Linked DNA regions of Diceros bicornis minor. The protein of the gene in region 3 binds, or shares a complex with, the protein of the main gene of each other region. Links are inferred from orthologs where the notes say so. Each region holds a gene or a part of one and is shown on either strand. Other genes may lie near its edges.

The links.
Region 1: the proteins of DOCK5 (region 3) and RHOG are in contact, whole or in part, in a cryo-EM structure (PDB 8XM7), measured with the Homo sapiens proteins. The link is inferred for Diceros bicornis minor from reciprocal best matches to the Homo sapiens genes DOCK5 and RHOG. Residues at the interface, in NP_079216.4 of Homo sapiens: Val232, Phe345, Asn393, His394, Lys395, Gly396, Trp400; in NP_001656.2 of Homo sapiens: Ala121, Pro123, Leu126, Arg127, Arg128, Lys130.
Region 2: the proteins of DOCK5 (region 3) and ELMO1 are in contact, whole or in part, in a cryo-EM structure (PDB 8JHK), measured with the Homo sapiens proteins. The link is inferred for Diceros bicornis minor from reciprocal best matches to the Homo sapiens genes DOCK5 and ELMO1. Residues at the interface, in NP_079216.4 of Homo sapiens: Met1, Ala2, Arg3, Trp4, Val14, Ala15, Ile16, Tyr17, Asn18, Ser22, Gln23, Gln30, Ile31, Gly32, Asp33, Thr34, Glu39, Tyr41, Gly43, Trp44, Arg46, Tyr48, Lys56, Ile58, Pro60, Glu61, Thr62, Tyr63, His65, Leu66; in NP_001193409.1 of Homo sapiens: Ile7, Val8, Lys9, Ala11, Tyr18, Pro19, Leu21, Glu23, Glu36, Asp39, Gly40, Ser42, Asn71, Gly72, Gln392, Asp393, Leu400, Glu401, Lys468, Arg531, Glu535, Leu536, Lys539, Leu547, Gln550, Gln551, Asn554, Arg555, Asn582, Thr688.

The regions. Positions count from the first base shown.
Region 1 is NC_080746.1:58,925,219-58,934,628, reverse strand, and holds the start of RHOG (rho-related GTP-binding protein RhoG), read left to right. Parts: upstream 1-4,961; 5' UTR 4,962-5,077; intron 5,078-6,295; 5' UTR 6,296-6,341; intron 6,342-9,410.
Region 2 is NC_080742.1:60,602,076-60,611,706, forward strand, and holds the start of ELMO1 (engulfment and cell motility protein 1), read right to left. Parts: upstream 3,965-9,631; 5' UTR 3,734-3,964; exon of another isoform or gene 3,540-3,733; intron 1-3,539. UniProt on the Homo sapiens protein: Involved in cytoskeletal rearrangements required for phagocytosis of apoptotic cells and cell motility. Acts in association with DOCK1 and CRK. Was initially proposed to be required in complex with DOCK1 to activate Rac Rho small GTPases.
Region 3 is NC_080750.1:68,672,306-68,682,040, forward strand, and holds the start of DOCK5 (dedicator of cytokinesis protein 5), read right to left. Parts: upstream 3,951-9,735; 5' UTR 3,776-3,950; coding exon 3,733-3,775; intron 1-3,732. UniProt on the Homo sapiens protein: Guanine nucleotide exchange factor (GEF) for Rho and Rac. GEF proteins activate small GTPases by exchanging bound GDP for free GTP. Along with DOCK1, mediates CRK/CRKL regulation of epithelial and endothelial cell spreading and migration on type IV collagen.

The DNA.
Region 1 (9,410 bases), on a different chromosome or scaffold from region 3:
AGATGGTGGCCTCTAACAACTATTCCCAGGCTAGTTTCACAAACAGAATCATCTCCCGTTCCAGAATCAGTTGTAGAATCTTACTGCCAATGTTCATTCATTTAACATCTACTGAGTACCTGTTCTTAACGACCCAGCTCCTACTCTCAAAGAGCTCCGTTTTTAGGGGAAATATGTATATATGAAGAGTAATTAGTACTTGTTGACAATGTCTTGAGAGGAATTGGTACAGGGGCAGGTGAGGGAGCACAGAGGAGGGATAAGTAACTGCCTAAAGCAGAGAGGCTGTGCAGAGGCATATGGATCGGATGGGGTGAGACGGAGGGGTTCTGGAATTAGACTGCCTAGATTCACATCCTGGCTCTGCTGTATGACTCGGGGCAAGCTGAGTTGCTCCTAGAACACACCAGGGCTGAAGGAGAAATTTCCCAGAGGAGATTATGCCAGATGACCTGAGTGCCACCCAATTTGGAGAAGCTCAAAGATACAAAGGTGTCCTGGAAGCAAACAGGACAGCTATTGTTCTGCCTGCCTGGGAGGAGGCACCCTCCTGGAGGATGGGGCATGCCCTTGGCCCTCCTAATCTTATCCAGTTGGTTCCTCAGAGGGAATCAGGAACAATGAGCAGAGGACACGACTCTAGAACTTTGTTTCATTTGCCACTTCCCCTGTTCACTCTTTCTGCTATCTCCTGTTTTGCCTATCACTTTCCCATGTCACAAAATGGGACATCGGGCTTGTCTTTGGGGGTAGCAACGAAGGGGAGACTCCTACTTCTACTCTTCAGGCAGGCTGAGAGAAGAGACCAGGGAATCAAGAGGAGCCCGAAGAAGGCTGAGTCTTTGGAGCCACATCAGAGACAAAGGGAAACTCAGATGTAGAGTTAACTTGAAGAGGTTAGGACTGGGACTGAGCAGAAGACCCTTGTGGGCCACTGGTGAACTCCAGGAGCTGGAGCTCGGTGAGGGCTGGGCTGGGGAAACCCGTTTGGAAGACACCAAGGCAGGAGTGAGTTCAGTTCAGGGCCTTTCTCCTCCTCCTTGTCTCCACCCTGCTCTTTTAGGGGAACTGAGTCAGCTTTAGCATTTTCACCTTGAGAAAGAGGGAAGAATTGGTGAGGGGGAAAAACCTGAGAACGTCATGGGTGTATGAAGAAATTAACTAATGTTTATGTGTTGTAGTCTGGGCAACCTGCTAGCCACTCCATTTATTATCTCATTTAATCCTCATGATCCCACAGAGCACAAAGTACTGTCATTTCTGTTTTAAAATGAAACTAAATGGCTCTGTTATATGCTCTTGTAGCAGTCTGTACTTTTGTATGATTACCTGTTTAAGAGCTATTTCCAGGGGCTGGCCCCACGGTGTAGCGGTTAAGATTGCGCGTTCCGCTTCAGCGGCCTGGGTTCACAGGTTCGGATCCCACTCACCAGCCTCGCCGTGGCGGCAACCCACATATAAAGTAGAGGAAGTTGGCACAGATGTTAGCTCAGAGCTAATCTTCCTCAAGCAAAAAAGGAGGAAGACTGGCAACAGATGTTAGCTCAGAGCTAATCTTCCTCAGCAAAAAAAAAAACAAAAAAAAAGATTTATCTCCCTTGCTATTTACATCTGGATAGAGACTTGTCTATGTTTTCACCACTGCATTAATGGCATATGACACTGTACCTGGCCCAGAGAAGGTTTTCACTAAGTATATGTTCAAGGAATGAATGAGAGAAGTCATGTAACTTGTAATTTGTCAAAGACCACAGTGTAAGTGGTACAACCAGGATTTGAATCCTGGACTGTTTGGCTCCAGAAACTGTCTGTGGTATCTCTATTCTACCCCCACCAAGTGCTTCATATGTTGTCTCACTTATAAATGTTCTGGCTCGGTGTCCTTGTCTCTCTGCTGCTTGTGAACACAAATGTACACCATGTACCAAGAACTCACCTATGCAGGGAAAGCAAGTGAGAGAGTAGGAAGAAGAAAAGCCCTCTTCCTACCCTCTTCAGCTCAGCATCCTCCTCCTCCAAGAAGCCTTTGCAGACAGACCCACCAGTCCTCCTGACTCTCTCTCCTCTGGCCTTACTGGCCCTTCCTACATCTGTGCCACAAAAGTGACTCCAAGTCACCTGGCCTCTGGTGGTTCTACACATGAGTGCTTTATTAATGCAATTTAATTCCACAGATGTATACTGAAGGCAACTGTGTGCTCAGGCCTGCTTGTGCCAGGACCAGTGGGTGGACACAGAGATGAATCAGACACAACCTCAAAGGACTTACCGTCAGTGGGGGAGACAGACATTAGGCACAGATACAATTAACTAGAACACAAAGCAAGATGACCTAAATGGTATGAAAGAACGATGAGCAGTGTGCTACCTGCTAAAACCTTAACTACTTAATTATTATTCTGAAGAATGTATCATAGAAGGTTAGAGCTCAAAGCTATCATCTGGTTCAACTCCTTGTTTTCCACTGGAGGAGTCTGAGACCCAGAGAAGGGTGAGGCCTAGCCTAAAGTCTCACTAGCCAGTCTGGCTGAGCCAAGACTAGACTTCAGATCTTTTGAAGCCCAGCCCAGGGCTATTTCCCCCTCCGGTAGCTTCACATGCAGAAGTCCCATATCCCACTAGACCATGAGATCCTCAAGGCCAAGTCAGGATCTCCCACTAAGCAAACCGAACCAGGGCCACAACCAGGGCTCAGGAAATGCAGTCTGACCCCAGGCTGCCAATCCAGGTTTTTTGTCTACTGTACCTAATGTGTATCCTACTATGCCCCTAAAATTGATTTTAAAATATTTTTTGCAGGAAATTTTTTTTTTAATGAACTTTTTATCTAGAACACTAGTATATAAATCACATAAAAGCAAACCAACTCTGGCTGAAGGGGAAGAAGGCCACAGCGCCGCTATTTTCCTGTCCTCAAGTCCTGGGAAGGGAGCTCTAGGAACACAGCTCAAAAACCTTTGTTCTGAGACACAATTTTTAACGGCTTCATAGAAGCCGTAGTAGCATGTGGTCCTTCTCTAAACCATGTCTTTTACGGAAACTCACAATTCTTTCTTCATCATCAAATGCCGAGCACTAGCCATGTACTCCCAGTAGGGTATGAAGGGAAATGAGGTTTTCCCCTTGCCTTGCTTGTTTTCCTCTTCTCCATAGGGTGGAGTTTGTCCCAAGTGGCAAGGGAGGAAAGAGACCCAAACTCTGCCTCGGGGGGTGGGGGGTCGGGGGGGGGGGTGGTCAGATGAAGTCTTTCCAGAAGGATCATGGAGGATGAATTCATCTACTGAGCTATTTACCAGCCTGAATCTGATAGAAGCTCTAACTTTGCTGTCCCATACCATACCCACCAGCCACATGTACTATTGAGCAATTGAAATGTCTAGCCAAAATTCAGACGTACTTTAAGTGTAGAACACACACCAGATTTCAAAGACTTAGTACACAAAAAGAATGTAAAATGTCTAATTCATTTTTATAATCAATAATTTTTATATTGATTACATGTTGAATGATAATATTTTGGATATGTTGTGCTAAGTAAAATATATTATTAAAATTAATTTTACCTGTTTCTTTTTACTTTTTAAAAAATGTCACCAGTAGAAAATGTGAAGTTACATACGTGGCTCACATTATATATTTGTTGGACAGCACTGGGAGAGACTATCAAGGGCATGGCAGAGGTAGTGTGTGTTGTTGGAAGGAGGGATCGTGGCAGCCAGGCAGGGAGTAGTCCATTAGGGCCAGATTGTGAAAGACTGAGTCGATTTCGTGTGGCAGTCAATACAGGAAAGAAGTCAGGCAGAGAGAATGAAATCCGCAAAGACCCAAAGATGTGGGCAGGCACCTTGGGTTTAGGGAACTCATTCTTACAATTTTGTTTTGTTTTGTTTTTCTTTAAGGTATTTGTTGAGTATTTACTTTGAGCCAGGCATTGACAGCAGGTCTTTCACATCCATTCTCATGTTATCTGCACAACTATAAGATTAAGGAGAGGTTATTCTATTTTACCAAAGACAGAACTGAGGCTCAAAAGGGTTAAACTACTTATTCTCAGAGGTGTTCCTCCTCTTTATTTGGAAAGCCTCTTGGAGACAGGGAGCCTGTCTTTAAACGCTTCTCCGTTTTCCTCCACTGCACTTAGCACGGAGCCCTGCACGTGATTGGCGCTTAGAAAGTTTGTGTTGAACCGACGTCTCAAGTCAGAGCTCCACGCGCAAGTCCTGGGAGCAGAAGCACCAGAGGGCGCCCACGAGTCCGCCCAACCGCCGGTCCCCAGGGCCCCGGGACGATCTCAGGCCTGGGTGCGGCCCTTCAGTCTCAAGCAGTTGCGCGCCCCGGCGAGAAGAGGAGGCAAGGGGAGCCCCACGTTCTCCGTCCGCCCCGGCCCCTCCCCAGAGCCCAAGCGCGCGGAGCCGCCGGGTGCGGAACGACGACACGACATCCTGTTTTTTGGGGCCCGCGGCTCCGCCTGCGCCTCTGCTGATCTCGTCTTCCCCCGGGTGCTGACGCCAGCTCCCCTTCCCCCAGTCTCTGCACCCTCCCCAGGGGTCTGGGGCCTTCCCACTGCTGAATCACCACCACCCTGCATTCCCCCGGGGCTCGGGGCAGGGGTGGGGACTGCCCCAGCCTGATCCATTCTGGCCAGCCCCCAGCCTTGGCCATCGCTCTATCCCTGGGCTTAACTGAAGGCACTAGGCCTAGGGGCGCCTGTTCTCAGCATCTTCCCGCGGGGGTTAGTGGGCGCGAGATACGGGGAGGGGGACAAAAGCCTAGCGCCTCTACTGGGGTGGGGGTGACCAGGAGGAGAGAAGGAGGCTTGACCTCATGGGCCTCACAGGCAGAAGGCTGGGGTGGGGAGCCCGGCACTGGGCGGTGGGCGAGGCTGGTGGGGGGAGACCGGGGTGGGGGGACCGGCCCGCGGACTTCCTGGTCGCGCCCCGCCCCGGCCCGCCCCCGTGCCCCGCCCCGGCCGCCGGCCCGCCCCCCCCACTTCCTCCGGCCTCCCGCTCTCACTTCCTTCTCGAGCGCCGAGCCGCTGCCGCCGCCCCCAGCTCCCCCGCGGCGGGGAGGGCACCAGGTGAGGCCCGGCGCGGGCCGGCGGGCTGGGGGGTCCGGGGGAGGGGAGCCCGGCCGGCCCGGGACTGGGCGCGGGCGCGGACCCGGGAAGTTTGCTGGCGGGAGGCCGCGGGCGGGAGCGTCTCGGCTCCCTCCAAGTTGGGCGGGCGCGGCCGGCCGGGCGGGGCGGGGACCCGGCCACTGAGAGCGGGGCGGCTCGGTGAGGGTGGGTTCCTGTACCCAGGGCGGCTGTACCGGCTCCCGGGAGCCGCGAGGGACCCCTGAGGTCTGAGGGCTTCCCAGTCCGAGAGAAAAGCCTCTGAAGGAGAAGAGCTCAGAGCTGGCAGATGGGCCTCCGAGGTGGGGTGCCCTCGGAAGTTGGGGAGGGTGTACCGAAGTGTGTGAGAGGAGGGGGCCTCTGGGCCGGAGAAGGCGCCCCTCTGCTCTGGCAGTTGTGACACTTGTGGGGTTGAGAGGGAGCGGCGTCTGTAGCCTCTGAAGCCCTGGACCTCGGAGAAAGCTTCTTCCCTGGAAGACCGACCCGCGCTAGCAGGCTGCAGCGGAGGGTCCTCTGCGCTCAGGAGGGCGGGGGGCGCCCTGCTGACCCTAGTCTTTCTCTCTGTATGTCTGTTTTTCTGAGGCCCTACCTCTCCATCCCTGGAACCAAGCTACAGGTATTTAGTGAGCAAACATCCGCTGTGCCTAGCTGACGGGTGCCTGGCCTTGCTTTTTTAGGGGTAAACTGAGGAGGGAAAGGGCCCGGTCTTGTCCTGTGACTAGAAGTAGAAGGACTCTCATTCAGAGGTACTGATAGTCCCTGACAAGATGGCATCGCTGAGAGCAGGACTATTTTCAGGAGATGGAGAGAACAGGGCTTCTGGGAGGCAGCTGAGGCCCTGGCCTTGGGAAATGATTGGGAGCCGTCTCCTAGTCTTTTATGCCCCGCTCCCTTGTTAGTCCCTGAATTCTATACATTCTCATTCTGTCTGACTCCATTCCTTCTTCAGACTCTACCCACAAACCCTCCGTCTCCCTCTTTCTCACATCTTCTTCGGTTTTTTTCCCCCAAACACACCGTCATACCTGGGCCCTGACCTCTCACCTACCCTGCCCCTCTGTCCATCTCTGTCCCCTGCAGCTGCCCCCTCCCTTCCTTGCCCAGCTTCTGGCTCCCACACACATATCCACCCTCTTGCTTCTTCCATCTCCCCTCATTCCTCTCTGTCTCCTTCTCTTTCAGCCACTTATCTCCAGCTTGGGGGTCAGGATCTGCTGTAGAAGACTTGGTGAGTTTGAGAGCCCTTTCAAACCTCCCTAGCTCAGAGAGACAGGCTGCAACTTCCCAGTGATAGAGATGATTAAAGGGCTGGAAAACCTCTCTCTATGTGTATGCCTGTGCAAGTGTCTGTGTCTACATCTTTATCTCTTGGAGACAAAATAACTGCCCTCAGCCTTGAGAGGGCTCAGAGCAGGGGAAGCCAGCAGAATGAAGGGAACCTGCAGTGGGTGAGGTTGTGGTTAGGCAGGAGGAAGCAGTCTGTAGCAGTCAGGGTAGAGTGACACAGGAATAAGACTGGTGAGAGAGGCCGTGGGAAATCAAAATCACCCAGCCCCTGGGGTGCTTGATCAAGAGGCCGGGCCTGGAGGCTGGGGGACAGCCTGAATGTGCCTGACTCCAGTGCTTACTGGTTCCAGCACTGTCTGGTGGGGAGAATGGGACTAGGTCAGCTAGATGTGATGGAAGGAAGTGGGGGGAGCAAAGGCAGGATTCTGGAGGGAAGACTATAGCTGGCCTAACTTCAGTTTTAACTGTTTTAGTTCCAATTCAGGAAAAGAAGAGGGGTGGGAGTCAAAGGCGTCTGACCCTTCTTCCTGGCTGCCTTCCGGGGCCTGCCCAGGCTGGGTACCCACGTGTCCTGGGCTGCATCATGGCCTTGGTGACCAGGAAGCCATCTGGAGTCTGCTGACCCCTCTGCCTCAGGCATCCTTAATATTCCCCCTCGTACCTAGGACCATACTCCCTCTCTTACAAGAATTTCTCCTGAGTCTAACTTCAGCCCACACTGACTCTGTAAGCTCTTGTTGTCCCCATTCTAGAGCTCCTTCCTCAAGCCTTTGGGATGCATGCTGAGAGGTCCTGCTTCTCTCCACCTTCTTCAGTCTACTCTTCATTTCTCTCCATTAGAAAAAAAGAGAAGTGGAGGGGAGCAAGTGCTACTTTTTTGGGATTCCCAAGCACAGCTAGATTTAAGGGCTATCCACGATCCCCATTCTATCCTCTTTCCTCTCACAGTTGTCCCTCTCCCATGAATTGTCCCTTCTTCCAGTCCTGTCCTTCCACCCACCTGTCTCTCCTACTCTTGTTTCTGGAAGGTGTAGGGGGCTGGGCCCCAGGAGGAAATCCCAGGGACCTGCAAAAAATCCCAGCTCAAGAAAGGATGTGCATGCAAGGCACTTTCCCAGCATTAAGGCTCAGTAAAAAACCACCCAGGAGTCCTGGCTCCCCGCCTGCCAAACCAGTACTTATTTTAGGATTCTACATAACTGAGCAGTCCACAGGGCTCTGAGGGTGAACATAGGATGGATGAGACGGGTTCTCCCAGGCAAGATCTGGCCCCACTGGAGGTTTGAGCTAATTGCAAGAAAGTTATTGCTGGGGACCGGCCCGGTGGCACAAGCAGATAAGTGTGCGTGCACTCTGCTGCGGCAGCCCGGGGTTCATGGGTTCGGATCCCGGGCGTGCACCGACACACCACTTGTCACGCCATGCTGTGGTGGCGTCCCATATAAAGTAGAGGAAGATGGGCACGGATGTTAGCTCAGGGCCAATCTTCCTTGGCAAAAAAAAAAAAAAAAAAGGATCAGCATCGGATGTTAGCTCAGGGCTGATCTCCCTCACAAAAAAAAACAAAACAAAACAAAAAAGTCATTGCTGGAAAACTATGACCAGGGTGGGAGGGATCTAAATGGGAAAATATCATGTGGTGGGGGTAGGGTGGGCTGCAACCTAGGAGACTACCCGTTGAGCTCTTGACTAATGAAATACGGTCAAGGTCATGGCATGAAAAGAAGTGGCTGATATAAGATTGTCACAGATCCTGGCTGGGAATCTAGGATGTGGAGAGTTGTCTCTGGATGTTATGTCAGGTGAGGTGGCTGGTGTGAACTTCTCGGGGGTCATGAGCAGGAAGATATGAGAGGTTGTGGCTAGAGTCAGACAGTTGGGAAGATATTAGAATGGTGGTAGCTGGGGAACTGGGCAGGAAATGGGGGCCCGGCCCCACACTGAAGACCCCTCCCTCCATACGCAGTGTAGACCCATTAATGGTGAGGCTTGTAGGGGTCTATGAGTAGGGAAAGCAAAGACAAAACCTGGGCTACCTCCTTAGAACAGCTCGGTTTTCCTGTCCAGGGTCCAGCTTCCTCTTTTGTCCTCATCTCATGGGGGGAGGGTATCTCCCCAGGAGCTAGAGGCTAGAGGAGGAGCTCCTCAGCTGGGACAGGGCCGGTGTGGCTGGCTGTCCGGTAGTGGTAGTTCTAAATCATAGACGCTGCAGTATGGGCTAGGCACGAGAGCCTGGGAACTTAAAAGCAAAAAGGGCTCAGATGTCAACCTGACTCCTTTGGCCCATTTCCTGAAGGGATAAACCATGGTAAAGTCATCCTGAATGAGGTCAGAGAGATGATGGGCCCATTCCTAGGCCAGAGTAACAATCCTCACCTCCTCTTCTTTGTGGAAGTGACAGCAGGCTGGAGGTTAGGAGACCCAGGTCTTTGTCCTGGATTTGCTCCCAACTCTCTGTATAACCCTGATCAACTTGGTGTCTCGTGGCTCAGCTTCAGCATTAAGGAGTTGCTCATCAATACCTCCACAGAGCAGAGAGAAGACTGAGAGCTCTGACTCTCCTTCCCCCAAGAGGCTCCTCAGAGCATGGCCCCCACTCTGGGCCCTCCTGTCTCAGGCCAGCCTTGATCTGACAGGTGTGAGTAGTTTCTAAGTATCTGCCCAGGGACAGGAACTGTGGCCCCTTTCTCCAAAGCACAAGGATTGTTACAGGTTGAGAGATGAGAAGCGGACAGCGAGTGTTAGGGATTTTGCAAGACAGGGACAGCAAGATGGGGGAGCACCGTGTGCCCTGCTCCAGCTCTGCCCCACTGACAGTGGAAAATAGACGCCGGAGTTTCCTCCCTCATGTTTTTTTCCCTTGTGGAAACCCCCGCAGGCCTGGGGCAGGGCTGAAGGGCCAGGGCGGCCCTGGGTCTCTCTGAGGGTATTTTCAGGTGGGCGAGGCAGGACTGGGAGGATGGCACTTCTGTACAGCCTTGTGTGAAATGAGCAAAGGCAAAGGCAAAGG
Region 2 (9,631 bases), on a different chromosome or scaffold from region 3:
TGTACTCTTTTCTGTTTCATGTTTTAAACTGCTGGTCTGGACTCAATAAATTGATATGACCCGCTCCTGGATTGCAACCCTAAGCTTCAAAAACACTAGACTAGTTGACTAGAAGGAAGCAGAACTGGAGTTTCGTAATTAGCAACAAACACTTGAGGCTTTGTGATGCAGAGAGGGTTTAGCAATCCCCCACCTTTTCCAAATTCAACAGAATGAATGTCTTATAAACCAAACTATCCACTTGGATGGTTTCAGGCATTAAAAAGTGGTTGCAGGCTTCAGTTACAAACCTTAAGGGCACCCACTGTCTTAGATCCGGACAGGAAATGTCCTCCATAGGAATGATTACCTCTAAACCTTTAGAGTTAAGAAAGATGATAATGTAAGCTAAGTGTGCGCTCAGCGGAGCCCCTTGGCACACCCCCAGCCACATCCTCTCTGCAAGGGCTTCAAAGCACTCCCTTCCTCCACCTCTCCCCACCCATTCACACCAAACACCCATAGGGGAGTAAATTACTTTAAAACACTCAGCTTTGTCCTATCTCAATACCATAATTTAATAAACGCTTTTGATTGAGCAGCACTGTAGAAACCCCTCACCTGTTTTCTCTCTTTCATTTGTCTTCTCCTAGGCATTTCTTATCTTCTTTTTCCCCTGCCTCTGCCACCCAGCTTCTTCCTCCCTTACAATCTCTCCTCCTCTGCCTTCACTTCCATCTGCTGGGAGAGCAGGGTAGGGTACATGAAAGTCTCTGGTTTCACTCCCCTCACAATATGCCCTTCTTCCTAGGGGAGCATTTTTTTGGCTAAAGCAACACGCGCTTAGAGAAAAGACTTTCTCTAAGAAGAGTGATGAAACAAACACCAGATCTGGAGAGGGTATGCGTAATTAACAAAGTGTAATGGTTCTCCACTCTCCCAAGGAATCACTTCTCTGTTCCTTTCTTCGGTCTGAACTTCTACAGGAAGAGTCTCCTGAAGGCAGAAAAGGGTCTGCAAGATGGGCAGCTGGGCATGGGGGAGAAGACAGAGGAGAAAAAGTAAAAGCCCGTTACCTGGGGTTCTTAATTGCTGCTGATGCTGCAACATTTTCCTGGTATATTTCCTTGGTGAGCCTCTCCCATAATAAGCACCTCTTCTTCAGTCAGTCAACAAGTATTTATTGAGCACCTGCTATGCTGGGAATCAGTTTAGATTCTGGACCTCTAAACAAGACAAGGTTCCTGCCCTCATGGAACTTCCATTCTAACGGGGGAGACAGAGAATAATCAAATAAACGAATATATAATGCCAGGGGTTAATTAGTGCTAAGACGGAAAATTTATACGAGGTAATCAGGGAAGGCCCTCTGTAAGAAGACAACTGAACAGAGACCTGAAGGAAGCAAGGGTGTGAGCCGTCTGGACATGTGGGGATAATCTCCTTGTGCAAAAGGAATAACATGTGCAAAGGCCCTGGGGAGAGAACTTGGTGAAAAAGAAAAATGTAAGGTAGTCAGAGTGGCTGCAGTTAAGAAGGGCAGAGAGATGAGACAAGGGAAGGTTGGAGGGGTGTGGTGTGGATATGGCCATCAATAGGACCACGGGTTCTATAGCCCAATGACTGCTCCAAGTCCTGAGTTCCATCAGACCCAGGTCTGGGCCTGCCTCCCAGCGTGCCCCTCCCTGACACCTACCAAGCTTCTGAGCCAGTTCCCTTCCCTCCTGACATCATCTGCCCTGCAGAGTTCCAACATTCCAGGTCATTCCCTCACAATTTCCCAAGAAGACAACCAGTCCATCTAATTAAAAAAAAAAATGAGTAATAAATGTAGTAGAAAAGAAGGCAACATGCACATTTAACCACAGCCCTCAAGAGAGAGGAAATGTACCACAGAAAAGAGCAGAGGTTCAGAAGGTCAGCTATAAGAAAAAGTCTGCTATGTGACAGCAGGACATCTGGCCTTCTAACTTATAGTTCCCAGTTTTGAAAACTGGGGGACAATGATCCTTGAAACGACCTTGGAAAGCAGGTATGGAGGTGAGATAACACGAAAAACCATGACCAGAGGAGGCCCTTAATAACAGCTGCTTCCAGCCTTTTCCATGTAAAAGTAAACCTGAGAGGGGTTAGAGCCCTCTAGTTCCCAAAGTTACCCTCAAAGAGTTGATATACAGGTCTAGGTCATTAATTACTTTTATTTTATGGACCAAAAAAAACCTCAAAAATTCTTCCACAGCCCCACCCACCCCACCCGCAAGTCACTGGCAGGGCCAAACGGGAAGCCCGCGGCCTCTGCCTCTGGAGGCAGAAACCTTGTCTTAGGTTCTCTGAAATCTTAAACAAAACGAATTAGATTCGCATCATTTATGGCCAGCAGTGTTAGCAGGCCCATGGTCTGGGGCACAGGGCATCACAAAATATGCTCGGTGAGTCACAGGAGCTGTCCAGAGGCCGAGTCCCTCCAGGGGTCCAAGTCCTGAGGCTTCAGGTCAACACAGGTCCAGCCGCCAACCACCCCTGCCCTGAACTGCCAACTTCAAACTGCCCCCAGGCGGGAGAGGGTCACTCGGCGGGAGTCCCCAGCTCCGGAGACCCTTGCGATCACCCATACATACACACACACACACACACACACACACACACACACGCTCACTCTCGCCGCCCTCGCGCGCGCCCGCGACACAACGCGGACTTCCCAACCCCAAACACACGCGCGCACCCCCGGGCCGGCTGAGTTCTGTATTTCCTCTTCCTCAAAGCAACTCTATCGATCTCGGCCGCCCCTCTCCGCTCGGATTCTAGGGCCCCCAGAGCTCCGCTGCCCCCCTTCTCTGAAGGCGCGCCCAGTGCGCCCCCTCCTCGATGCCAGGATCTCCCATCGAAGCCCCTGCCGTCTTTCCCGGTCCCGGCGGGGACCCTGAAATGTCCCCGGGAGGCGGGTATTTACTAACAGTGGCCCCCGGGACTCCCAGCTGCCCTAACCATCCCATTCCGTCCCTCCGGGCCCTCCATCCCTCTAGCCCATCATCGCCCCCTCCAAGGAGCGCGGTCGCCGGGGGATTCCCTCCCATCTGCGAGTGCCAGAGAAAAGCCGGGAGTCCGAGCCGCCAATCCTTTCTCCAGCGCAGCCTCTCAGTTCTGCAAGCCCGCAATCCCACACTCTCTCTGTCCACAGTCCCCCAGCGCTGACTGCGCAGCCCTCCGGCAGCCCCCTCCAGCCGGCCTTGGCCGAAACATCTCCGCGGCTTCCCGGGCCCCGCGCTCCATCCCCAGCGCCCCCTCCCTCCTCTTCTACTCCCACTCCAGCCGCCCCCCTCTGCCCAGACTTCCCCCAACTGCGGAGCGCCCTGGTGCGCCCGCAGCCTTCATCCCGCAGGGCGCCGCGGCCACCTCCGCCCGAGCCGCGGCGCCCCCAGGGAGGAAACAAAAGTGTCTCCACGGCGCCCAGCGTCCCCCAGAGCAGGACGCCTCCTCCTTGCCCCAACCCCAGCTTCCTCCCCGGCCGCGCTGAGGTCAGCGAGTCGGGGCGCGGCGCCAGCCCAGGAAACTTTACGAACCTGCCCGGGGTCTCAGGACGGCGGCGGCGGCGGCGGCGAGGGTTCCCAGCGATCAGGGCTCTGACGACCAGCGACCTTTGAAAGGGGGCCAGAGATTCTGTCGCCTAGCTCGGGGCCGCGGCGGTGTGGGTGGCTCTGCCTCTATCCCGTGCCCATCTTCGCCCGCTCTCGCTCGCCCGAACACACGCACTTACACTCCGGGTCGGCCGGCTGCTGCGCCGCCGGCTGCCGCTGCTTTCACTTCCTCTTCCTTCCTCCTGCTGGCCAGAGACACATTTTGCATCTGCAAGCCATCCCGAGATCAGCCGCGAACTCTCCTCCCGAGCCGGCGCTGCGGAGTGGCCGCCACCGCCCCCGGCACCTGCGCCCGGACACGCGTGGTTGAGCGTTCGCCTCCCGCCCGCGCCCTGGTGCCTGCCCACTGTACTTTGCCTGGGGGGTACCCACGACTTTTTGAAGTCCCCCTACTGAAAAAGAAGAAAATGTCAAACACCGTGCACGCCTCAGATCTGCTATAAATAATATGTGTGCAGATCATGACTTCTCAGATGAGCTCACACGAGCGTTTTGCAGGCACTAATTAACTCCGTCACCCTCATAGCGCCACCTCCGGGAGGCCGAGAGCGCGAGGCATCTTTTTAGATGCTTTCATTTTCGGCAACTGGTTTGGAATTTTGGGGGGAAACTTCCGTGGGCTGTTTCAAGGCTACTTTAAGAGGCTGTGTATTTGTTTTGACGCTGTGCCTCTACCTTTGGACAGCGTGGCAAAAATGACAACAGAATGCTTCCTCCGCTCACAGTCACTTATGCATTTACCGACTACAGGATTTATTTCTAATCAATTAAGCCAAGGACTCCCTAATTTTACATAACTTTACATAAAACAAGATGTTCTACCCCCAACTTGGTATTTAGGGTACATCACTTAATTCATGCAACCTACTTCAGTCACTTTCCAAGCAGAAATCAAGCACGCTAACTCCCGGCCTAGCTGCTAGGAGGGAAATGACAGTTGTTGGAAGGTTGCAGGAGAAACACCTGTCCTCTCCAAATTCATAAATATCTACATTGGCTCTCCCAGAAAAGGCAAAGGCAGTCGCTATGCATTTCCCTCAGACTGGGAAAGAAGGTAAGCTGGGAGCAGGGAAGCATTCGAATCTAAGGTGGAAGGCAAAGCTTCTCTTTAAGTTTCAACACCCCCCAGAGGAGATTTCAATTTTAACCCTGTTCTGGCTGTCCATTAGCAGCCAAGAGCTCCAGGCAGCTATTGAACGCTTGAAACGTGGCTAGTCCTGAGATGTTCTGTAAGTGTAAAACAGACACGGGGCTTAATGTGGAAAATGATGTAAGAGCGTGTTAATTTTAATGTTGATTACATCATTTCAAGAAATGATAGTAGCTTAGACGTAATGAGTCAATTGGGTTAATGTATTGGGTTAAGATATAAATATATATATTATATATATATACAATTTAAAATGAGTTCACTGATTTCTTTTTCATTTTTAATGTGGCTACTAGAAAAAGTAAGATTACTTTAGTAATCTCATTAGTGGCTCACATTATATTTCTAATGAACAGCCCCAATCTGACCCCTTATTATATGCATAACTTCCAGAGGCAGTATTAGTAGCAGGAATACTTAGGTCCAGATCGTTATAAGCTGATAAGTTAAAGCAGGATGATTCCAGGAAAGTAACTTTTCTCTATTTCCTCATCTGTAAAACTGTAATGATATAATAATAACAGACAACAGGGCAACTATCAAATGAGGTAATTTAATAAGCAGTCAGTAAATGGATGCTATGAGATACTTGTAATGATAAGTATGAATTTGACCCACAACGTTTTAGCTAAGGCATACAAAGACCTTAACATTAGTGCAGACATCATGAGCACTCAGTAAATGTTAGCTGTCATAACTGTCCCAAGAGTAAAGAGGGAACTCTGTGTCCTCTCCTTGAACAGCAATTAGACAAATCCACCTCCCTGTAACCTTTGGTCCCAGCTCTGCCCTCTGCAGTCAACATGGAGTAAGTCACATCCTTCCTCCAAGAGATAACCTCTCAGGTCTTTGAAGACAGCCATTGCATTCTACCTAAACATTCTCGTCTGAAGATTAAACATTCTCAGTTACTCTAACTCCTCTTCATGTGAGATGGTTTCAAATCTCTCTAATCTTCGCCATTTTCCCCTTGAAGGACACCTGTCTCTGCCCTTTAAAAAAAAATTTGTTGTCATAAAATTAATTGACTAGTTAACCATTAAAAACAATTAATACAGCCTGAGCTCTTGTCAGTTATTTTTCAAATACATCTCACTGTTGATCCCAGTGCAAGGGGAAAACTGGAAATTCCTTGCTATGTTACTGTTAGGCCATATCCATGCTTATGGGGTTCGTCTTTGGGACAGAAGCCCTGGGTCCACCTTCTCTAAGTCTCTTTGGATTTGATTCAGGCATCCAGTGTCTCCCCATGTCCACAGAGTAGATTAGAACACTAGAGTCCTGGATGACACCCCACTAAGGGGCTCCCTCTGCCGTGGTGGGGCTCAGCATACTTTGGGTTCACTGGTTCATTCAGTTACTAATAACCCTCTTAACTATGCAATTGTCAAGCCTTATTTTTCTATTATATTCATAAGGATATCTTAGAGATGTCAAATGCCTTAGAGAAATCCACCTCTACCCTAGGCTTAGCTGGTGGTCTGCAGTGGGCACAGTAGAGTGGTGGTGTCATGTACAAAGTCTCCATCTCTAGACTTGGTTGTTGAGTATAAATCCCAGCATTGGCATTTACTAGGTGCATTACCCTATGCAAGTGACTTGACTCGTGGGATTAAAACCACACCTACCTGGGAGGGTTGAGTGAGGATTAAATGAGTTAATACATGCAAAGTTCTTAGAAAAGGGCCTGGCACATAGAAGCACTCAATAACCGTTAGCTTAGCTATTATTATCCATAACAGTCCTCTGATCAACAAGTCATGTTAACAGAGTCCAAAAAAAGAGCAACACCCTCCCTTTTCCCATATATCAGTTTCTCCCCATAGGGGAGGGAGAGAGCCTGTATCATCGCTCTGATGTTATTTAAGCTTCTGGTCAAACCTGGACCATTCAATTGTTAAGTTACACTGCAGTAGAGAGGACAGCCATTTTAGGGTAAGGACCGGAATCCAAGTGCAGCCCTTCAGTAGCACTTGCAGTGGGTCCACCTGGGCAGGGCTTAGACTCTGCAGATGGGCCAGCCTCATCTACATCTCGGGTGGTAGGGAAGTGGACTCAGGATCTCCTCTGCAGGACCACCCATCTCAGTTTCAGGATGGAGAAGAGGAAGTAGGGTAGGGATAGTTGGCTAGAGAACAAAACTCAGTGGACCCTCAAATCTAACCTGCTCTCTCCAACCGTGCTTACAAGACGGCTTTGCATTGTTGACAGCTGGAGAGGTGTGTTTGGGGAAATTTCCCATATTTTAGTACCTTGATCCTGTGTTTCCCATATCTTTATTCTTCCTTGTGTATGCAGAACTCCAAGATAGGAGGGGTAACTGGAAGTTTATCAGAATATCACCATGAAACCCCAAACTGCAAAAACGGCCTGTTATATTTTTCATCAATGATGACTCATGTTGATCAACTCTTTCTAAGTGCGCACAAATATTGATTTCTACTTCATTAAAAAAAACTTATTGGACTTCAAATGGACGTTGTGCATTTAGTAATGCATTTAGTAATTTGCTTCAGAATTCTACTCCAATCAGCCTCAACTTCCTTGATCTATAGCTTGAAGAATCTATTCTCTTTTCCTGTCTTAGAATCAGGCTCATGTTGGCTTGACTCCAGTCTACGAACAGCTCTTGGAGGCAGAGAAAATGGCCTCAGCTCCAGGAGGCTGCGACACCAGAGGTAACAAAGTCCGGGCAGCAGACAGACACCTGCACTCCAGAGCCACTGGGGTCAACCCTGCATGCAGACCTCAGTTTCAGAGTCTGTTCCCTGGGGAACCTGACCTAAGACATCAGCTGTTCTCACGTTATGGATATTATATCCTCTCTTATTTACTGTGAGGATATTAATGATACTTCTTTCAAATTCTTCTTTTATTTGCCCTATGAACTCTATTTCCTTAGGTTATAGTTACTCAATGAAGACTGATGTCACCTTGGCTGGGTGCTTAACTTGGCGTATGTGATTCTCTGCTCTCCTGTCACTGCTGTTTCTGTTATCTGTAACTTGCAACTGATGATCCTGGGGAAGAGGGAGACGGGCTGCCCGGTGGTGGTCCTGGGAGTTTATGTCTGTGTGTGGTCGCACCCTCTCTAGGAGATTTAAATGATTAAATGGAGCCCAGCCTCTTCAGCCCCAGTGCTCACATTCACTGCTCCACCTGGATACGAGGCTAAGGCCACGAGCCGCTTAGCAAAGTGGTGATGGAGGGAGCAGAGTAGCCCCACAGTTAATCACCCTGAGTGCCCTTGGGCATCCTCCTGCCTCCATGTGTGTTTACACTGGACTCGGAGCGCCCTTGACCCAAATTGCTTCTACCTCTGTCATAGAAATATTCTGTTTGCGTGTTGGGCTGTGGTTTCCTCCCATTTTAATTTTCTCTATATCTGATCCAGTCTGCTCTCCAAAACTTCTGGTGGCCTGCTTTTCTTTCTTTTTCCTTCTTCCTTCCTTCCTTTCTTCCTCTCTCCCTCCCTCTCTTCCTTCCTTTCCTCCCTCCTTCCCTCCTTCCTTCCTTCCTTTTTTCCTTCTTTCCCTCCTTCCTTTGTTTTCTCTCTCTCTCTCTCTCTTTTCTTCCTTCCCTTCTTCCTTCTTTCCGTTTTTTTCTGGAGTGGCCACAACCCCTCTTTTTATATCTTTTCTTTCTTTTCAGGGGGTTTGGAGCTAGAGGAGGGGTAGATGTGTGTGATTAGGACACGATATTTCCAAACTTATTACTTTTACATTTTCAAGGTTTATTCCGTTTTCATTCTGCTGCCTTCTGTCCTGACACTATAATTAAAGTTTCTTTATATATTCTCTATTGGTTGATTCTAAAAATTGGAAAACAATTTACAGTAATTACTCACAGCTGAGCCAAATAGCATGCGTGGACCTGAAGAGAAGGAATATAATCCTATGTCATTAAGCCTGTCACCCCTGAAGAAGAATGCAACAAGGGTCAAGATTAAACAGACTCTGTCTTCTGACATTCTGTCAGTTGTCCAAAATTTGGGTATATTTTAATTTACTTCAAGGAGGCACAATGACTTTCTCTGTGATTTTTTTCCTCCTTGGAGTTTTAAATTGCCAAAGCTTATTAAAGTCTTCCCTATTCTTAAGAATGGAATCCACTTTACTCTTGAAGGCAATCTCCACAGAGCCTCAGATGTTCTGTCCCAGTGTGGCCTACTGCTAGTGTTTTCCTAGGATTTCTTCTCATTACCCTCTAGTTATTTCCACTGTTTCTTGAAGACCTTGTCTTCTGCTAAGACTCCTTATTTCCCTGAAATATGTACTCAAATACTTTTTTTTTCAGAAAGTAACGAATGAGAGGTAAACTTTTCTAAGAATCTGCATGTCTGAAAATATCTTTTTTTGCAGTTACATTTGACTGGTAGCCATCAGAACGCTGAAAACCATGGCTTATCATCTTCAAGCTGATAAGAAGTCTGAAGCCAAAGTGATCTTCTTCTTTTGTGGTTTGCCTCTGTGAGCGTGTGCGCCTGTGTGTATGTGTGTGTTCATTTCCAGAAGCATTTAGAATCTTCTCATTATCCTTGCATCCTGAACAGTTATCAGGATGGAGATGAATGTGAGTATTTTCACTGTTCCCGCCGGCACTACAATAGGACTTTTCAGTCTAAAGACTTGTGTCTTTTCAACCAAGAGAAATTTTATCTACATTTTCTTCATTTTCACCCCATTTTCTATCGTCACTTTTCTGGAAGTTCTATTTAAATCGATATTGGACCTTCTGTGTCAAGTTTCCATATCTCCTACTTGTCTTCCTTTTTTTGCTCTGTGATCTTTTAGAAGAATCCTGACTTTATCCTCTGACCCTTTCATTGAATTCTTTTAGCATCAGCCATCATGTTTTTTAGTATTTC
Region 3 (9,735 bases):
TCCCCCAACTACCTTTTATTACATTATAAATATACATATCACAAATCCCAACAAACAATAATGAATTATTTTGCAAATAATCCATCATCAACATAATCTGGGTCTGTTCTTGATTATACATAGCTTGTTTGGGAGCAGACTTAAAATAAATGTTTCAATAATCAGAAGACTAATCTGGATATTTATCAGTAATGTTTGTTTAAAATCTAAATTAAAATGTTTATACTCATATCCTCAAACAGAAAAAGAGGAAGAAAGAATAAAGGAAAAGAAAATAAGAAAGAAAAAGGAAGAAAGAAAGAAAAACATTTTTCTATGGCTGTGGGGAGGAGCACTCATTCCTACAGGTCATTCAGACTCACCTAACGCTAGAGATGGAGCCAACAGTGCTGTTTAAGAAGGAAGAAAGCCCAGCCGAGATTGCATTTCAGTCCCTGTAGGACAATCTACGCTATATGGGGACAGCCAGCAGTGGCACCAAGATCAAACAAGACAGCACACTTACCAGCTTCACTGTGCACAGTTCAAATCAAGATCAAAGCGTTACCCTCATACAGAGTAGCTGTGAGTCATTAAAAAAAATGGCCATCACATGGTTTCCTTCACCCAGAAGCAAAAATCTGTCCAGCAGACATTCTGAAGCGACAACAATCCCCCCAAAAGTCCAACAAGCCAATTTTCCCAATCATATTTAAATGAGGCAGACTGTTCTGTCTCCTTGTTTTCTCAGCAGCACATTTCAGTTTTTTACTCGCAAAGATAAAGACAGACTGAAGGCTCTCACTTCGTCCACCTAACGGAACCAAATAAAACGCATACTGGAGTGAATGAGACACTAAAATCTAACAAGGAAAAAACTGCATTAAATGGGCGCAGGCCCAGTGGCTAGCTTAAGTAGGCGCGCTCGGCTTCAGAGGCCCGGAGTTCGCTGGCTGGGATCATGGGCGTGGACCTATGCACCGCTGAGGCAGCCGTGCTGAGGCGGTGTCCCACGCAGAAGAGCTACAACTCTACAACTATGATACACAACTGTGTACTGGGGCTTTGGGGAGAAAAAAAAAAAAAAAAAAGAGGACGATTAGCAACAGATGTTAGCTCAGGACCAATCTTCCTCAAAAAAACAAACAAACAAAATAACCCTGCATTAAATCGTCACAGAAATTAGGTCAGAGCTAGAATGCTACCCCAACTCCAAGGACATGCAATGACTACTGAAGGCAGGCTCTATACCTGCTACACCCGGTGAGTGACAGGGATACAAAACCATAAGCTGAACCCGAGGATACGAGGAGAAGCAATGAAATAAGGTAGGCACACTGCAGGCATTGTGAGGAAGAGGCGGGAATGCCTGGGGAGGTCTGGTGAACACCAAACCTGAAGGAGGCACTGGCAGTGGATCTGAGCCCCGAGGACTGTCCCGAGCTGGACTGTGGGATGCAGAGGTGGGCGGGCACTCTGACAGGGAGCAAGAACAAGGGAGCAAAGTCCCAGAGGAGGGACTCTCCAGGCCTGTGGCCTATTGCACAAGAGCTAGAAGAGCAGTATCTGCGGGGGGGGGCGGTAAATGAAAGAAGCCAGGAGATAAGGTTGGTTGGTGAGGACACTTTGAACCAGATTATGGGAATCTTGAAAGTTGGGCTCAGTTACATCTTACCCTGCAGGCCAAGGAAGGCTTCAAATCAGGGAGGTGATATGAACAACAATGTGTTTTAGCAATAAACAATGGAGATATATCTCATCAGCTAATCTGTGCTAACAGTGGTCCTTCTGTCAAATCCAGATTAAGCAGAATATATTGTGTCTAATGAAACAAGTGTCCAAAATTATATCCTGGGGCAATTTTGCTAGCACCTATGCCCTGGAAATGCAATTCAAATACTTTTCTTGATGGAAGATAAAAAACATGGTAACCTGACTCCAGAACAGGAAAAAAAAAAAAATCAAAAAGAGAACATATCATACTTGCTTCTATGACTATGGCAATAAAAACCACATTTGGGAGATCTGTTTGCATCACCTACACTGAAGTCATACTGGTTTTGGAAATAGCTTTTATCCTCTTAAACAAAATCAGAATTGATAACTTTCTTAAAGTAGTAATTAATGATTAGGCGTTGCTAAACACGCTTTAATTTAGTAAATACTAGATAACATTCAAAAATAAAGAAATTGAGTCCATCTATTTTAGAGCATTTCACTTCCAAAACCACTGGCTACTTACTGACTGGCACCTGAGTAGGAGTCCCCGTCTGAAGCGTCATGACCAAATCATGACGGGGTGGTCTGGGGCAGGAGAAACACCACCTACCTGTTTCTGAGTTGTAGCCATACCAGAGTGCAAGGATTCTAACAGAAATTTAAGGGGAAAAAAGTTTTTGGAATAGAGGGAAAACAAGCAATTATATATCTAATTACATACACACAAACATATATATAAAGGATCTCAATCTAAGAGTAATATAGTAAATATGAGAGAGTTTGTTTCTTTAACTGACTCGGGGCTACAGAGTTGAAGAGCACCAGGGACGTTGAGTATCCGTGAAACTGACCTCGCCGTCAGAAAGCTCAGAACAGGTGCTGGGACGGTTCCCTCCCTAGTAACCAGAGAGGTGAGGAGAAATGGGGGCGGGGCAGGGAGGGAAGTGAAAGATTAAGTTACAAACAGGCCAAATGAATGAACCTAAGAGGAAGTGATAAAATTCTCAACACACACAACTGCGTTTACACCAGGGAATCGCTCCGAAGTCGAACTGCCACTGTAATCGCCCCGCGAACAGCAGCGTTCCCACATTTCAGCAACCTCACTCCTTGGTAGGAAGAAGGACCACGGCTTTTCACCTGGGTCAAAACCCCACACAGCCACCGTTCCGGGGCCAAACCAACAGCACTGTAATCCCTCCGCACGACAGGGACTCTCTAGCACCGCTGTTACGAATGCGAAGTGCCGGGCGCGGGATCTGTCACAGTGTTCTTAATAAAATGCCCTCGTCTTATCCCACGACGAAACTCGGGATTCAGAAGGCAGTCCTCACCCCTCTCCATATACGCTCCGTTAGGAGATGAGCGTCTGCCCCATCGGCCCCAGGGGCAGCCACCCTCGTTCCCATGCCACACACTTCCTGTCTCTTCCATCACCTCCCCACCACAACTTTAGTCTCCCATTCAGTTTACAACTGTTATCTGGATCCCAGGCCCTGGGAGGAAACGAGGGGGCGGAGGGCGGCTTTCTACCCCCAACTCCTCACTCGGGGCTTCAGAGACAACCTAAGAAGAGGGAAAGCAGAAAGCACTGGGGCAGCGAACACCACTGGCATTCCTCCGACCTGGGCTGGCTACAAACTACTGAATGAAACCATACGGATGGGGAGGAGGGAGGCGAGCACCAGAGTTGGGTGCCCCAAATGCATAAGAGGCGAGCACCGTCGCTTTTGACGTTTCTCCTATGCAAAGTGCTGGAGCTTTGGATTCGGGAGGATTACCTGTCCCGGAGCCCAGCTGCACTTCTAGCCACTCGGATTTCCCAAACTCAGAATGACTTCCCCCACGGGGCTCCAGGAAAGGACTCCGACTCCCACCCGCCCCCAGAACTGCTGCAGCGGGAGCCGAACCCCCGCCTCGGGCAGCGCGCGCGCCGAGTGGCCCGGCGTCCGCCGCCCAACTTTGCGCAAGGCAGGGCGGCTCCCGCGAAGTTCCCGGCGGCCGGGTCGGGGGCGGGGTGGGGCGAGCACTCACCAACCCCGTACTTCTGCCTCTTGGTCGGGATCCAGCGGGCCATGGCGGCCACCTCAGCCCGCGGCGGCGGCGGCTGCAGCGGCTACAGCTCCTGGGGCGCCGGCCGCCGCCGCGCCGCGCTCCTGCGCGCCCCGGGCTCCTCCGCCATGTTCCGGCAAACTTCGCCCGACCCCGCGAGCCGGCGCCCCGCCGCGCCGCCCGCGTCCGCACGGGATCCGCTCCGGCCCCGGCCTCGGCCCGCGGTCACCTGCTGGGCCGGGCGGCCGCGCCGCTGTGCGCGCCCCTCCCGGCGCCGCCCCGGCCCCTCCCGCCGGCCGCGCCCTCCGCCCGCCGGGGCCGCCTCCGCGCCCGACCCGCGGGCGCCCGGCCTCCCGCCCGCTCCGGCGCTCCGCGCTCTCGCCGGCCCGGGCGGGCGCGGGCCCCGCCTTGCGCGCTTCCCAGGAGCAGCTTCCCAGTGCAGACTGGGGTACGGTTTTTTCCTTGTGTTTTGCTTTTTCCCCACCCGGATTAAACCCCCGAGACTGGATCCCGTGGGGCGGGTTCCCCCCGCGGGCGGCCCGAGGGCTGCGCCGGAGGCGCTGGGCACACCCAGGCTGGGCGGCCCGGCAGCGGGTGGGCGCGGGGTGCGGGGTCGGCTCCCACTGCGCGCGCCGCAGCTCCTGTGGGAACTAGTATGAGTTGATGAGTTGCTTCTCGCCCCCGGGGCACCCCCAGTGCCTGGCACTCAGCGGGCGCTCCGTAAATATTTGCTGAATGAATGAGCAGTTGACTCCTGCGTTCACTCTCTAGAGCTTTAACTGACACCGTGAGAGCCGGAAGCCGGACTCCGGGGCAGACATGATCTCCTGTGGCCACCGTTTATCGCCTTCAAAGCAGGCGCATTTGTCTTCTGGTAAATAGAGAACTGATGCAGGGGAGACGGCCTCCTCAGAAGTATCAAATACTTTCCTAGCAGAGCCTCTGTGGGAAAAAATTATTCTAACTTGGAAATCCTGTATCCCCAAAACACCCGGAGGAGTCCCTGGCTGAAGCAATTCAAACCTTCATGCTCAAGGGAAAAGTCCGCCCCAAGACGTCCCGCTTCCAACAGACCAGCATCCCTGCGGAGAAGGGGACCTGGCACATCCACGTCTTTTCTCGTTCATTGACTGTATTGTTTCGACAAAGAGCCCAACGCAGAGACTGATCGTTTGAACTGCCCTGGGCTCCTGTGGGCGCTCTCTAGAAGTCCCCTCCCGGAACTCACTTTTTCCTGGAGAAGCCTCAAGAATGAAAATTGGCTCTGAGTCCGGGGTGAGATGGAGGGATTGCTACCTCACACAGAGAAGTAAAACCTCAGAGTAGTAAAACCTCAGAGTAATGTTCACCGTCTGAGAAAATGCCTCTTGAAATAAATTGTTTGGTCCTTGCAGTCTCTGAAGGTTTTCTGCCTATTTGGAACATAAAAGGAAAGGAAAATAAACAGGTATAAAATAGAGTGAAACTTGATTGGAAAATTAGTGCATTTTAACTTTGATACTTTTTGCAAATCCAGATGTGAAATTAAAAAAACAAAACAAAAAAAACGTCTTGTTCGCAGTGGGTAACTCCTAGGGCTTACTTTCTTCTCCATCAGCAAATAGGCATTTATTAACAAGTGCAATGATAATTTAAGAAATCTGTCGCTTTAGACTTAACATGCAGAAGGAATTCCATCTCCCCAAAAATAATTTCTCTTCTGCCAGTGACATTGTGATTAACCTAATTTCCCAGGTTAGGTAATTTCTTCTTCTTTCCACAAATATTAAGTGCCTAGTAGGTGTCAGGCTTTGTTCTACAGATGAGGGCACAGCAGCTTCTACCCTTGTGAAGCTTCCAGTCTACAAGAGGAGAGGAAAACAATGCCAAGTAAATGTATGCCAAATGAGGAGGAGCCAGGAAAGAAAAATCCAAAGCAAGGAGGCTAGGCCCCAGGGATGCTGCTGTTTACTGAGTGGTCTGGGAGGTCGCCTCTGATAAAGTAGCATTGAAGGACAGACCTGAAGGAAGTGAGGATTTCAGGGGAAAGTATTCTGGACATCAGGAACAGCAAATGCAAAAGCCTGGAGGCATGTTTTTGGCAGGTTCCAAAAACAGCAAGGAATCCTGGGTGGTGAGAGATGAGTAAGGGGAAGAGCGTGGGAGGAAACTTGGTCCAGAAGGCACAGGGTGGCCGGATAAAGCATTTGAGGACTTTGTATATGACCATGACAAGAGAAGTTTGCAGGGTTTTGAGCCAACCAAGGACATGATCCCATTTGCCTGCTGTGTGATGAATAGACTGTAAAGACACAAGGGAAGACACAAGAATCTCAGATGGATGGAATGCTATTTCGGTAGTTCAGGCAGGAAATGAAGATAGTCAGGTCCAGGATGGTAGGGTGGAGTTGGAAGAGAGGTTGTGTTCTTGACATACACTGAAGGTAGAACCAACAGGAGGGCAGTGTAGGCAGAAGGGAATTTACTGATGTCCTAGACCTCACAGTGTACTTTTATCAACATATGTTTTTGGAAACTTTCGCCCAAAAACTATGCTTGTTTTTTTTTTTTTTTTTGAGGAAGATTGGCCCTGAGCTAACATCTGTTGCCAATCTTTCTCTTTTTCTTTTTTCTCACCAAAGTCCCAGTGCAGTTGTATATCCTAGTTGTAGGTCCTTCTAGGTTCTTCTGTGTGGGATGCTGCTTCAGCATGGCTTGATGAGCAGTGAGTAGGTCTGCGCCCGGGATCCGAACCAGCAGATCCCAGGCTGCTGAAGCTGAATGCACGAACTTAACCACTATGCCAACTTGCCGGACGCCTTTGTTTTTTTTTTTTTTTTTTTTAAAGAGACTCACGACATACACTTCAGGCCCCACAAACCTTTCATCTTGCCCTTGGGTATGAGACACAAGATAGGTCAAGGATGACCCTAAGATTTGGGGCTTGAGCAATTAGTAAATAGAGTTGCCATGTTCTTGGTCATCTGTGATATCTACTTGGTCTTCACGCTTTGTATCCCAGTTGTTCTGTACTGAAGTTTCCCTTTGATATTTCTTTAGGACTCACATCTTCACACCTTCCTCAGCAACTCCTGCTTGTGGACCATGAGGAGCTGAAGTGTTTGGCCTTGTGGAACAGGGGCTTCACAAAGTCACTGCGGTCGTCTGCGTTCAAGGAAGTTGGATGACCAGTGTTCTCTAACCACTGGTCTAGTTTAAATTAATACACATCAGAGTGTTAATGCTCATCCAGTGGAACTGGGTTTCTCCCAAAATGATTTCAGCTGCTTCACCCCGCCTTGCATTGCAGACTTTTTGCAGAACTTGAGGTTTGAATTTGGGCACTGGATGTTTCAAGTCTAACAATAATTGCGATAAGAGGGTTGGAGGAAAAGGGAAAATTTTAATTACAGCTTTCAGTATGTTTATGCTTTTTCTTCTGAAGACTGAAGTCCACCCGCTTTGTAATATCAGATGGTTAAATCCCAATTTAAAAGTCCATTTAAATCATAAAAGCAGAGCTATTCAAAGTCTTTTATTAAAATGAGGCTTAAAATTAAAGAGTCAACCAGATGGGTAGGTGGAATAACAGCATGATTCCCAGAAACATCCTTTTCTTTTTCCTCTGATATCTTTTCAGAAGAAATAGTAAGCATATTCCACAGCCAGAGACTCCAACAGCCACACAAATACACACACGCTTCTGCCTGCACCAGCATTCACGTGTTCTGCGTGAAGGCCTTGGAGGAAGACATGAGCATACACGAATGTGGAGGCTAGTTTGACGTGAATATTGTGACTGTCCCTTACATTGCCTCAGAGAATAGATGGATGTGTTGACAACTGGCAAGGGCATCACTTCTTCTGTTGATTACCAGGTTTATTTTGCGAAATCTGGCCGTCTTGATTGCTTCTCTGAGAGAAGCTGCAGCTTCTGTTAAAGAGCCCTGGAATATGTAGAAAAGCAGGAAATTAAATGCCTAAATTTGATCCTTATTTGGGACAGGAGTGAAGTTTCATTCTGCAGCCGCTTCGTAACAGTGACACTATTACTATATGGTTTAGATAACTCATAGTCAGCAGATTTTTCTTCCTATTACTTTGAGGTCAGTTAAGAAACACACATTTGATCTAGAATTTTTATTTAATACCAGGCAGATTTTTCCATGGTCACCAGCTGTAGTGTAACAATAAATAACTAACTGTGCCTGGCACTATTCAAATCAACTTGTTTAATTCCCACACAACCTAATGAGGTAAATTGAACTATTGTTGTCCCCACCTTACAAATGTGGAAATTGTGGCTCAGAACATGTTAAGATGTTGTCCACATAGTTAGTGGCAGAACTAAATTCAAACCCTGGGCAGACTGGCTTCAGTGTCCATGGTCTAAACCAAGGGTCAGTGAACTTTCACTGTAAAGGGCCCGTATATATATATTTCAGACTTTGCAGGCCATATGGTCTCTCTTGCAACCACTCAACTCTGCAATTGTAGCAGGAAAGCATCCATAGTCAATACTAAACAAGGGTATGGCTGTGTTCCAATAAAACTTTATTTGTAGCCATGAAATTTGAACTTCATGTAATTTTCATATGTCATGATATATTATTCTTTTGATTTTTTGCAATCATTTAAAAATGTAAAAAACATTCTTAACTTGCAGGCTGTACCAAAACAGGTGGGAGGTGGGATTTGGCCTTTGGGCCACAGTTTGCCAACACCTGCTCTGAACCATGACTTCCACCTTTTGAAGTGGGTGGGAAGGCTGGGGCGGCCTCCAGAAGAAGAGACAGGGTAACAATGGCGGCACGCGTGTAGGACTTTCCCACCAGAAGTCTGTTGCATAAGGGTGTGGAAGAGAAGTCATTGGAAGAGAAGGACTCTAAATAGTAAAAGTTGCCTTAGAAATCAGAGGCCGGGCACTTCTGAGAACAGTGAGTGTGGGGAACTGTCCACTGGCCTAGCCCCTCCAGGCTCTATTCTGAATGATAGGAACTATAAATAAAATAACGAGACCTCTAAGACATTAGCACACAAGCAACTGCTCTGGTGCCCATTGAACAAGTAGACTTCTAAAGAGGGGAGGGAGGCATATTCCTTGCAACATTAATCACAATATCCAAGATGTGGGAACAACATACGTGTGGACGAATGGATAAAGAAGTTGTGGTGTGTATATATACCGTGGAATATTATTCAGCCATGAAAAAGAAGGAAATCCTGCCATTTGTGACAACATAAGTGAAATAAGTCAGAGAAAGATTTGTCTTTCTGTATGAAAGAAACACATACAAATACTGTATGATCTACTTATAGGTGGAATCTAAAAAAACCAAAGTCATAGAAACAGAGAGAAAAATGGTGGTTGCCAGGGTCTGGGGGTGGGGGAAAGGAGGAGATGTTGGTCAAAGGGTACAAACTTCCAGTTATCAGATGAATAAATTCTGAGGCTCTAAAGTACAGCACGGTGATTATAGTTAACAATAGTGTATTAGATACTCGAAAGTTGCTAAGAGGGATCTTAAATGTTTTCATGTGGGCTATGAAGAGAAGCACATGGTAATTATGTGATGTGATGAAGGTGTCAGCTATAGCTACAGTGGTAACCATTTTGCAATATACAAGTGTATCAAATCAACATGTTGTAACCTTAAACTTACGCAGTGTTAAGTGTTAATTATATCTCAATAAAGCTGGGAGGAAAAAGAGTGGAGGGAAGCATTCTCATGGGTCTCCTGATGGAAATGACAACGGGTCCTGGCTGAGATCATGGTGCTAGAAGAAGATGTGACAGCATCTGTTGAAAGGTTTGCAAAGCCAAGTGGATTCTGGTGATACCACCTGGCAAGGGTCAGAGCAGAAGAAAAGAAAGGAAAATGTCCAGATTGGTGAGAGTACTCAGATACACACCCTGGGGCTTTCCAGAAATACTTGAAGGGAGACTTGGCAGTGAGAGTGTTGAGACTGTGGAACCAGCACCAGGTGGGTTATATATATATAATT